Linked DNA regions of Macaca mulatta. The protein of the gene in region 3 interacts with the protein of the main gene of each other region in a pairwise test. Links are inferred from orthologs where the notes say so. Each region holds a gene or a part of one and is shown on either strand. Other genes may lie near its edges.

Evidence for each region.
Region 1: the proteins of ZNF410 (region 3) and TSGA10 interact in binary tests that used the Homo sapiens proteins (3 or more experiments, as listed by UniProt). The two-hybrid records come from large-scale screens. The link is inferred for Macaca mulatta from reciprocal best matches to the Homo sapiens genes ZNF410 and TSGA10.
Region 2: the proteins of ZNF410 (region 3) and SERTAD1 interact in binary tests that used the Homo sapiens proteins (3 or more experiments, as listed by UniProt). The two-hybrid records come from large-scale screens. The link is inferred for Macaca mulatta from reciprocal best matches to the Homo sapiens genes ZNF410 and SERTAD1.

What each region holds. Positions count from the first base shown.
Region 1 is NC_133418.1:7,269,006-7,272,753, forward strand, and holds the start of TSGA10 (testis-specific gene 10 protein), read right to left. Parts: upstream 2,357-3,748; 5' UTR 2,319-2,356; coding exon 2,208-2,318; intron 1-2,207. UniProt on the Homo sapiens protein: Plays a role in spermatogenesis. When overexpressed, prevents nuclear localization of HIF1A.
Region 2 is NC_133424.1:51,532,400-51,536,147, reverse strand, and holds the start of SERTAD1 (SERTA domain-containing protein 1), read left to right. Parts: upstream 1-1,228; 5' UTR 1,229-1,342; intron 1,343-3,748. UniProt on the Homo sapiens protein: Acts at E2F-responsive promoters as coregulator to integrate signals provided by PHD- and/or bromodomain-containing transcription factors. Stimulates E2F1/TFDP1 transcriptional activity.
Region 3 is NC_133412.1:147,098,530-147,102,177, forward strand, and holds part of ZNF410 (zinc finger protein 410), read left to right. Parts: intron 1-2,641; exon of another isoform or gene 2,642-3,037; coding exon 3,038-3,163; intron 3,164-3,648. UniProt on the Homo sapiens protein: Transcription factor that binds to the sequence motif 5'-CATCCCATAATA-3', and is specifically required to silence expression of fetal hemoglobin in adult erythroid cells.

The sequences.
Region 1 (3,748 bases), on a different chromosome or scaffold from region 3:
TCCTTGGACTCCAGGTGAAGAAGTCCTACAGTACAGAAACAATGAAGATTCCTAAGGCATGAGTTAATGTTAATAGATGGAGAAAGACAGCTGAGGTAATAAGAGGAAACCCAGGTAAATACGTATTGCCCTGAGACAAGAAAGAGAAAAGCAAAGACAGGTGAAGATTTAGACACTTGTAATCCCAATAATCCCCACACTTTGGGAGGCCAAGGCCGGAGGATCACTTGAGCCCAGGAATTTGAGACCAACCTGGACAACATAGTGAGTCCCTGTCTCTACAAAAAAGAAAAAAGAAATTATCCAGGCATAGTGGCATCCACCTGTGGTCCCAGCTACTTGGGAGGCTGAGATAGGAGAATCACTTGAGTCCGGGAGGTCAAGGCTGCAGTGAGTCATGATCGCACCATTGCACTCCAGCCTGGGCGACAGAGTGAGATCATGTCTCAAAACAAAAAAAAAGGTAAGTGGCATGGAAATCTGAGGAAGTTTCTGTCTAGTTGAATTTTAATTTTTCAGTGAAACAGAAGATTATATAATAAAAAGTATCATCAGTGTTGAGCAAAATATGAAGCACATAATATGTATTCAACAAATTATTTAATTTTTTGATAGAATGGAAAATACTGGACTACTTCATATGGAATTCTGAAATCTGGTTCCACAAAAGTTTACTACAGTTGAGGTGGGTTTTTCTTTTTAAAAATATTGTCTCCAAAAGCATAAACTTACAGACATTGAAGTAAGAAGGAACAGCCTCACTAACAGAAGGATGTGGAAAACCATACAAGATTTATGAATAATTTTGAGAGAGGATTTTATATAATAAGTGGATAAATATTTGGGGAAACAATCACCAAACTAAATACTGAGAGCAACAATAAAGATTAATCTTAAAAAAATGTTGACTAAAGCAGCAAGATGTAAATGAATACTCAGTACAATCCATTTGTACGAAGTTCAAAAACAAGCCGAACTGTAATGTGCATGTTCACATACAGTGATGTGAAACATTAAGGAAAATCAAGGAAGTGGCTCTTAGAAGTCAGGAGAGTGGCCATCTGTGGGGACGGAAAGAAACATGTAATCTGAAAAGGAGATAAATAATAATACTTCTAACTGCCTGTGTGTGTGGAGGACTTCAAAACCAAATCGTCCTAAACAAACTAGTCTAAGCAACTGAAAAAGCAGACAGAAAAGATCTCCCAGAGAATCTCTACACCTGATTATATTCTGAGCTACAAGCAATGATTTTTCTTCAGAAGGTAAACAATACGTGAAATATTTTGGAAGCTGCCATTAAAAAAATAATGCCAAAGTTTAGGATTTAAAATTAATATTTCATTAATGTACCTTCCTAGTTATTTCCCACTAAGACTGAAGAGTTTGGCTCATTAATCAATTAAAATACAAACAAGAATCTTATTCTGGAAGCAAATTCGAATGTGACATCCTACTTCTATAACTAACCTGTTTTTTTCCTACTTACAAACCTATTGTTATTCTATTTATGTCCTTACACGTAAACAAAGTATACTTGAAATGCTGAACACCAGTACAGAGAATTTTAAACAAGGAAATCTCCTAGGATATAAGGTCCTGGAATGGAAGAAGGAAAACGTTGGGACACTGTAATCTATGCAAACCTTCCTGAAGTCGCGGGGGAAAAAAAAGTGAAAAAAAAAACATATTTCTGTGAGTTTTTAGGTATCAAGTCCATGATCACCTAGTTATCCAATTTAAGTCTCAAATAGTTTTTCAACAAAAGCCAGCTTTCCCTGCCTTTACCGTGTATAATTTTACTAAAATTATCAGATTTTCATGCAAATGCCTATGTAATCTCAGCCTTTCACCACCCCAAGTCTAGACAGAGGCTCAGAAATGAGCGATAGGGAGTCAGGTTGAACTCCCAAATCTGTGACTTCCAAATTCCTCGGCTCCACCAGAGCTTCCAGAGCGTTTCTAAACTGAACAGTCCCCCCAACAACCAAGCGGAGAGCTGCGGGAGGACGCGAAGCGGTGACCATAGGAACTGGGCTCAAACCTAACCTCCCAAGAAGCAGGGGCAACGCGTGCAGCTAAGCTTCCGGCCGGCAGCGGTGCCCGCCGCAGCCCCTCACAGCGGCTCCCGCGGCGAGCGCCCACCTCCGCCTGCCACGGCCCCGCACCCGCCACTCCCGCCCGCTTGCAGCCGCCTTCTCAGAGACCTTCTGGCCCAGCAGCAGCGCTCTCCCCACCCTGCGCATCTCCGCAGCTTCTACCTGGAGCTCCGGGTCCCTCCCCGGGCTCCTCGGCCCGCCGTCCTGCCCAGAGCTCATCCCCGCGTCTGCCAGGTCTCGGCCTCCGCGGGGAATACGAGAACCGCCCAGTCTCCATCCTCCGCCCCTTTCTCCTCCCTTCCCACCCCCAAATCGTCCCGGCCCCGCCCCAGCGAATCGGAGGAAGGAGGGAGCCCGCGGGAAGGAGGCGGGGGCGGTTAGCGCCAGCCGGCGCCGCCGTGGCCCCGCCCTCACGCTCTGTACCGGAGTGGGGCTCGTCTTCCACCTCCCCGGCGCCCCAGCTTTGCTTCCGTCCCGCTCGCTCCCAGGCTCGGTGCGCACGCGTACCTGGCTCGACCTTCCCTCTCGCGGGGACTACAAGCCGTGCGCGCGCACTTACGCACGGAGCGACGCGTACGTCCACCTGCCTGCCTTACAGGGCACCTAGGAGGGACCTCTTCCTGGCCCATCCGCGCCGCGCAGGCGCACGCCCACGCAGCGCCTAGTCGCCCTACCCGAGCGTCCCGTCTCCTAGTAACCAGCCGCGAGCCCCCTTTTCCACCACTCATTTCTGAATCCCTGCCTGAGGCTGCGGCACCTGGATGGAACGCGCATGCGCAAGGCTGCCTCTCGCCGCCCCGTCTTCCCTCAGCTTGGAACACCTGCTGCTTCGCGGCGGTGGCTTTGTTCCACTTTTCCAGAGCTTGGACATCATTCTGGACCCATGTTCGGTGAACCGGTTACTCCTAGAGCTGCTTTTGGGCCTGTTTTGAGGGAGCCTTCCAGGTCCAGCCCTCCCACTGCAGCCTGCGGGGAGCGAGCCGGCCTGTCCCGGTGAGCGTGGGCAGCCTGGAGTCGGGAGCCTGGGGACCACGGCTTGGTCAGCTCTGCACGATCAGAGCTGAATCGGGAAGTGGCAGAACTAGCAACGAAAGTCCAGATTCCTGGCCGATATTCCTTCTCCACATGCCAGTCCTTTTCCAAATCCCCTCACCTTAAAGTGGACAAATGAGCCTTTTGGTGAAAAAGAATGAGCGCTGCATTCTTCTACCAATTTTTTGGAGCCCAGAATTGGGGGGGGGGGGGAAGTCTTCTTAATTTTTCTTAATACCTACCATGTCCCTTTCCTGCAGATGACATAGACGGTAGGTTTTTACAGCAATTCTCTGATACCCTTGATATGGTAGAACGCTGTGTATATCAAGAGTAAGCTCTCGTTTGAGGAGACTAACAATTCCTGTTTTTGCCAGGTGAGTACTCATTTTTTTTCCCCCACAAGATGTCATTGGCAGGGATAAACAACTTTTATGTTAGAACAAATTTAGTCATAAAAGTACATTTAATATAAGTGTCATGTTTTTTCTATCTCTTTTCATCGTGTTATTACAGTCATATTTTGTCGCATTTGTTTTCAGATAATCATATACTTTGTAAGTATAATCAGATACCAAAAAAAAAATTAAGTGTCCCTGTTACTTTAAGAGGCTAGA
Region 2 (3,748 bases), on a different chromosome or scaffold from region 3:
TTGGGGGTCTGAGGCAGGAGGATGGCTTGAACCCTGGAGGTCTAGGCTGTAGTGAGTTGAGATGGCACCCCTACACTCCAACCTGGGTGACAGAGCGAGACCCTGTCTCAAAAACAAAATAAAATAAAATAAAAAGTAAAGAAAAAAAAAAGGCAGCTGGGCGCGGCATCTCAGGGCTCTAATCCCAGTACTCTGAGAGGGCGGATTACCTTAGGTGAGGAATTTGAGATCTGCCTGGCCAACGAGGTGAAAACCCACCTCTACTAAAAATACAAAAATTAGCCGGGTATGGTGGCACACCCCTGTATTCCCAGCTACTCAGGAGGCTGAGGCAGGATGATTGCTTGAACCTGGGAGGCGGAGGTTACAGTGAACTGAGATCGTGCCACTGCACTCCAGCCTGGGCGACGGAGTGAGAATCTGTCTTAAATAAATAAATAAATAAATAAATAAATAAATAAATAAAATGAAAAAACCACAAAACACATTGCACCCCACTCTGAGGATTTTGCATGAATTGTTTTATTTAATCCTTAAAACAATCCTCTAAACTAGGGGCTATTTTCTCTCATGTTAAAGGAGAAAAAGACCCGAAGGGATTAAAACACTTGCCCCAGGTCACACAGCTGCTTAGGGAATGGAGCCCGGGATGTGATTCCGCACTCCCACCTCACTGCCGCCCTTAACCACAATTAAGTCCAACTGTCCAGCATTGCTTGAGTGTGGTATTGTGTTCTTATAGATACGATCCTATTTAAACTTTCTTGTCAAGAGGTATGCAAGACGATCCCCATTTAACTTTGTGTAGCTTGAAGAGGTTGATCATTTTTCCAAGGTCACGCATCGAGTGAGTGGGGAATCAGGAGTCGGAATTTGAACCTGGGCATATCTGTAGTGTAGACCACTGTCGGGGGTGGATGTGTAAGAAGCTTAATTGCCGGGTTTGGCAGGTGCATGGGTAGTTGTGAGGGGCTCGTACTTTGAGAGGCAAAAGCTCCCACTCGCCACCGTCCCCCAGAGTAAAAAGCCACCTCTTTCCACCCCTCACTCGCGCAGCTGCCCGGGCATGCGCCCAGAAGCCCCTCCTTCAGAATCCGCCCTTTACAGGCTCCGCCCATCACCGTAGAGGGCCAATCCCTGGGGCGGAGGGCGGGGCAGCCACGAGAGTGGGCGGTCGCTAAGGGTAGTTAGGAGTCTGGAGTCGTGAGCCGAAGTCAGAACTGCGTCTCGCGACCCAGGCGCCGGTTGCTGGAGGAGAGCGAGCAAGCGATGCTGCCGCTGCCGTTTCCTGATTGGTTGTGGGTGGCTACCTCTTCGTTCTGATTGGCCGCTAGTGAGCAGGGTATGTAAATGAAGGGGCCTGGGAAGAAAAGGGGTACCAGCGGCCGGGTCCTTCACGGAGTTCGATCCCTGGGTCCGACAGGTGCCCGCCGGGGCTGCCCGGGATCGAGACGCGCGGGCCTCTACGTGCTGTCTGCCCCGGCCGGGCCGGGTGAATCACGCCGCAGTCCGAGAAGGGGGCGGAGGCGCCGGCTCCTTGGCTCCGGCTGCGTGACTCACCCGCCCCCGCCGCCGCCGCTTCGGGAGGAGCCGCCTCCACTGCCGGAAGCGAGCGGAGGCCGGGCGCAGAGAACAGCCCGCCTAGGGTCCTGGCTCTCACGGCGCCGGGAGGCCTGCAGGAATCACAGCCGGGCAGTAGAAGGGGTTCTGGGGTCAGAGGGGCCAGAATCCCCAGGGGAAAGCCGGCCTGGGCACCGCCAGGGGGCGCCGGGACTCGGGGGCGGAGTCGGGGGTGGGGGCGGAATTCCTGCGGTTCCGGACTCCACGGACTGCGGGGAAGGGGACGAAGACCCAGTTTTGAGTAGTGTGGTGGGCCACTCTTAAAATCTTGCTAGGCAGGGTCCCGGAACTGGACTCTAAAGTCTTCCTGGCCCAAAAAAGTAGGTAGCGCCAGGGGTCCAAAACTCCATCCAGCCCTACCCCCGCCACTCCAAGAAAAGAGTGGACCCTCAAACTTATCTCAGTGACTGACCCCGGTGCCGATCACGATTTCTCGACAAGCCCTGTCTATTCTGCCTCCCAAAGAAATCCTGACTCGACCGACTTCCTTCCATACCCACTACCAGCTCCTGCTCCAGGCCATCACTATCGTCAGTCCCAAACCAGTACAGCCTACTAGTGGGTCTCAGATCCCCCCTCTTTTTGCCCCCTACAGTATTCCTCGAAGCAGCCATGGGGGGGATCTTCCGGAAACCTAATCAGCTCACACCCCCATTCCCTCCGTGCTCAAATTCCTTTAATGACTGCCCACCACACTCAGGATAAAATCCAAACTCCCTACTAATGCATATGTGGTTTTCTGTGACCTGGCTTGTGCCCATTCCCCCAGCCTCTGGGCTTTTCTTTGCCTTTTTTTGTTGTTCCCTCCTCCCGGAATGCTTTTCCCAGGGTCTCCCATGGCCGACTTCTCTGGCCTGAGGGCTCCATTCAAATGTCACCTCCTTACAGGAGCCTTCTCTGATCATCTAAAAGGTCTCCAGGACCTTTTAGTGTCTTCCTGTAATTCTCCGTACATTTCCTGTGTTTGCTTATTTATTTACTGTTTGAAACGTCATAGTAGACAATAAGTGTTAAACTATGTGAAACTAGTTTAGTATTTATAATATAACTTACTTAGATATAATTATTTATAACGTTATTATAATATATGAAACAGCTGCTTTTGTAGGGGAAAAAGTTGAATGGTCATTCCACATGGTTCACTGAAGAAATAATAATGTTATCATTAAGTGTACTTATTGGCAGGGCATGGCAGCTCACACTTATAATCCCAGTACTTTGGGAGGCTGAGGCGGGAGGATGGCTTAAGGCAAAGAGTTTGAGACCACCCTGGGTAACATAGTAAGACTTTGTCTCTACAAAAAATAAAAGGGGGGAAAAAAAGAGTGTTTATTGATTGAGGGGGGAGGATCACTTCAGGCCAGGGGGTTTGAGACCAGCCTGGGCAATATAGTGAGACCCCATCTCTTTTTTCAGATTAAAAAGTCTATAAATATACTTAAATACAAAATTTAAAATTTAAGGCCGGGCGCGGTGGCTCATGCCTGTAATCCCAGCACTTTGTGAGGCCGAGATGGGTGGATCATGAGGTCAGGAGATCGAGACCATCCTGGCTAACATGGTGAAACCCCATCTTTACTAAAAATACAAAAATTAGCCGGGCGTGGTGGCGGGCGCCTGTAGTCCCAGCTATGTGGGAGGCTGAGGCAGGAGAATGGGGTGAACCCCGGAGGCGGAGCGTGCAGTGAGCCGAGATCGAGCCACTGCACTCCAGCCTGGGCAACAGAGAGAGAGACTGTCTCAAAAAAAAAAAAAAATTTCTTTTAAAGTCTATAGGCTGGGTGTGGTGGCTCACACCTGTAATCCCAGCACTTTGGGAACCAGAGGTGGGCGGATTACTTAAGGTCCAGGAGGTCGAGACCAGGCTGGCCAACATGGTAAAACCCCGCCCCTACTAAAAATATAAAAATTAGCCAGATATGGTGGCGTGCGCCTGCAATCCTAGCTTTTGGGGAGGCTGAGGCACGAGAAACACTTGAACCCGTGAGGCAGAGGTTGCAATGAGCTGAGATCACGGCATTGCACTCCAGCCTGAGCAACAGAGCGAGACTCTATCTCAAAATAATAATAATAATTTATAAATATACATATGCAATTAAATAAAAATTATCTATATCTTTAAAGTTCC
Region 3 (3,648 bases):
GGCTAATTTTTGTATTTTTAGTAGAGACAGGGTTTCACCATGTTGGCCAGGTCTTGAACTCCTGACCTCAAGTGATCTACCTGCCTTGGCCTCCCAAAGTACTAGGATTACAGGCATGAGCCACCACACCTGGCCTGTTATTTTTTATTTTTATTTTTTCTGAATTTTTTTTATCTGCTTGGTTCAATCAGTGGATGTGTATAGCCAACTATATATTCATATATTCATAGTTTTATAGTTTTCTCTACTGTCCAACTCCATAACATTTCATCATCCCAAAAAGGATCCCCATATCCAGGAGATGATTAAAAAAAGAAAAAGAATTCCCATTATAAGTATCATTGCCCATTTCTCTCTTCCTCCAGCCCCTGGCAACCATTAATCTGCTTTCTGTCTCTGGATTGATTTGCCTGTTCTGGACATTTCATGACTTTTTCTTTTTTTTTTTTTTTTTGAGACGGAGTCTTGCTGTCTCCCAGGCTGGAGTGCAGTGGTGCGATCTTGGCGCACTGCAAGCTCCACCTCCCAAGTTCACGCCATTCTCCTGCGTCAGCCTCCCAAATAGCTGGGGACTACAGGCGCCGGCCACCATGCCCAGCTAATTTTTTGTATTTTTAGTAGAGATGGGGTTTCACCGTGTCAGCCAGGATGGTCTCGATCTCCTGACGTCGTGATCCCCCGACCTTGGCCTCCCAAAGTGCTGGGATTACAGGAGTGAGCCACTGCGCCTGGCCTTTTTTTTTTTTTTTTTTTTTTTTGATGGAGTCTCGCTCCGTGGCTCAGGCTGGAGTGCCGTGGCATGATCTTGGCTCACTGCAACTTCCACCTCCTGGGTTCCAGCAATTCTCCTGCCTCAACCTCTGAAGCAGCTGGGATTACATGTGTCCGCCACCACGCCTAGCTAATTTTTGTAGAGATGCGGTTTCACCATGTAGGCCGGGCTGGTCTTGACCTCCTGACCTCAAGTAATCTGCCTGCGCGGCCTCCCAAAGTGCTGGGATTACATGTGTGAACCACTGCGCCTGGCCAAAATAAATTTATTTATTTTATTTATTTTAGATTCAGGGGGTACATGTGCAGGTTTGTTACAAGGGTATATTGCATTTGGGCTACTAATGATCCTGTTGACCAAGCAGTGAACATAATACCCAATAGGTAGTTTTTCAGCCCTTGCCCCATAGCTGCTTTTGGAATCCCCAGTGTTTATTGTTCCCATCTTTGTGTCCATAAGTACCCAGTGTTTAGCTCCCACTTACAACTGAGAACATGTGGTGTTTGATTTTCTGTTTCTATGTTAATTTGCTTAGGATAATGGCCTCCAGCTGCATCCATGTTGCTGCAGAGGACATGATTTTATTCTTTTTTATGGCTGCACAGTATTCCATGGTGTGTATGTGCCACATTTTCCTTATCTGATCTACCACTGATGGGCACCTGGGTTGATTCCATGTCTTTGCTGTTGTGAATAGTGCTGCAGTGAACATGTGAGGGCAGGTGTCTTTTTAGTAGAGCAGTTTATTTTCCTTTGGGTAGATAGTAATGGGATTGCTGGTTCAAATGGTGACTCAGTTTTTAGTTTTAAGGTTTGTAATATTCTACCCTGTTTCTATTGTATAGCTTTTTTTTTTTTTTTTTTTTTTTTGCTATGCAGGACTATTGCAGTATCTATAGCTTTTTAGTCAGTCTCTGTGATGAATATTTACGTTGTTTCCAGTATTTAGCCATTTAAAATAATGTTGCAGTGATGAATAACCTTGTGCATAGAGTATTTCACATTTTGCCACTATAATTTTGGGATATATTCCTAGAAGTGGGATTCCAAGGTCAAAGGGCAAGTGCATCTACAGTTTTTCTAGATGTGGTCAGATTCCCCCAAAGAGGTTTTTGTATTTTGCATTCCCAGCAAAATACAATCAGCAATGAAGATTGCTGTACCATGTGTTTATCAATTGTGAATTTGTTCCTAGCATTTAGAAATTGGGAGATTCTACTTAAAAATCCTTATTTAAAAAAAAAATCAGAACCTGGCTGTGCTAGGCCTTAATCTACCTATGGCAACAGCTGGCTAGAGCTGAATAATAGCTGCCCCTTTTCTAGGTACTCTCTAGGTTACTGTGGCCTCCACTGGGCGATTTTACTTTCGCTACCTATCAGTCCCCTATAGACAGGAGTTTTTGACCTCTGCTCTAAGTATGGTTGTCTGGGTAGGTAGAATGGAGACAGAGAGTCTGGGACTTGAAGACATAGAGGACAATTTAGATTATTATGTTAGAAGAGCCACCAGTGTGAATGTTGACCCTAAAGAGGGTGGCGGGGAATATGTCAAGGGGATATTAGGAACCCAGGATTGGAATCCTTGAGGAAAGCACATATCCTAGAGGTCCATGGACGACTATCTGAAAAAGAAGGCCTATTTTTTGTGGTTGCCATGGTCCTATACCAAAGAGGTTTTGTGAAGGCAGCATTACAGTGAGTCTGGAAAGGACCAGGGGCTGGGAGCAGGGAGTGTGCTAAAGCCCTCCTGGTGTACTCTTCCTGCCTTCCCCCATATGCTGAAGTTTGAGAGGCTGGGAAGGTGGGGAATGGGAAAAGGAGCTGCTGCTTATGTTGAGTTTAACATTCTTTGGGTTTCTCCATCTAGGTCTTGAGTTCATTCTCTTCCTGTCCTTTTGGCTTCCCTGTTTTTTTTTTTTTTTTTTTTTTTTGAGACGGAGTCTCGCTCTGTTGCCCAGGCTGGAGTGCAGTGGCCGGATCTCAGCTCACTGCAAGCTCCGCCTCCCAGGTTTATGCCATTCTCCTGCCTCAGCCTCCCGAGTAGCTGGGACTACAGGCGCCCGCCACGTCGCCCGGCTAGTTTGGTTTTTTTTTTTTTTTTGTATTTTTTAGTAGAGACGGGGTTTCACCGTGTTAGCCAGGATGGTCTCGATCTCCTGACCTCGTGATCCACCTGTCTCGGCCTCCCAAAGTGCTGGGATTACAGGCTTGAGCCACCGCGCCCGGCCGTTGGCTTCCCTGTTTAACCTGGTCCCTGTTTCAGGAGAAAAGCCTCATCAGTGCCAAGTCTGTGGGAAGACCTTCTCTCAGAGTGGAAGCAGGAATGTGCATATGAGAAAGCATCACTTGCAGCTGGGAGCAGCTGGGAGTCAAGAGCAGGAGCAAACTGGTGAGGAGGGTGGGCAGAGTGGAGGGCTATACCTTCTAGGGTTCAAAGAGCCAAATCACTGTCTTGCCTGGTTATCTGGAAATTTTCTGATTCTGTTTTAGGTAGATAGACCTGGTCTCATTTGATGGGCTGATGGTTTCCAAACATAGCTGTACAGTAGAATCATCTGCAACCTTTTAAAATTTGTATACTTTTTGTTGCTTTTCCCCCCACCAATAAAACAAAGCAATCTGATAAATGAGATAATTTGCAAGATCCCAGAATCTGTAGTTTTAAAAGTTCCCCTAGTGATTTTGATGGTAACTAGTGCTGATCCATGAACTAGCATTTGAGTAACACAGTGATAAAAGATTTCTGCATGGCAAGAGTTTAAGCTTTTTTATTTTTTTAGATGGAGTCTCGCTCTGTCACCCACGCTGGAGTGCAGTGGCGCCATCTCGACTCACTGCAACTTCTGCCTCCTGGGTTCAAGCAGTTCGCCTGCC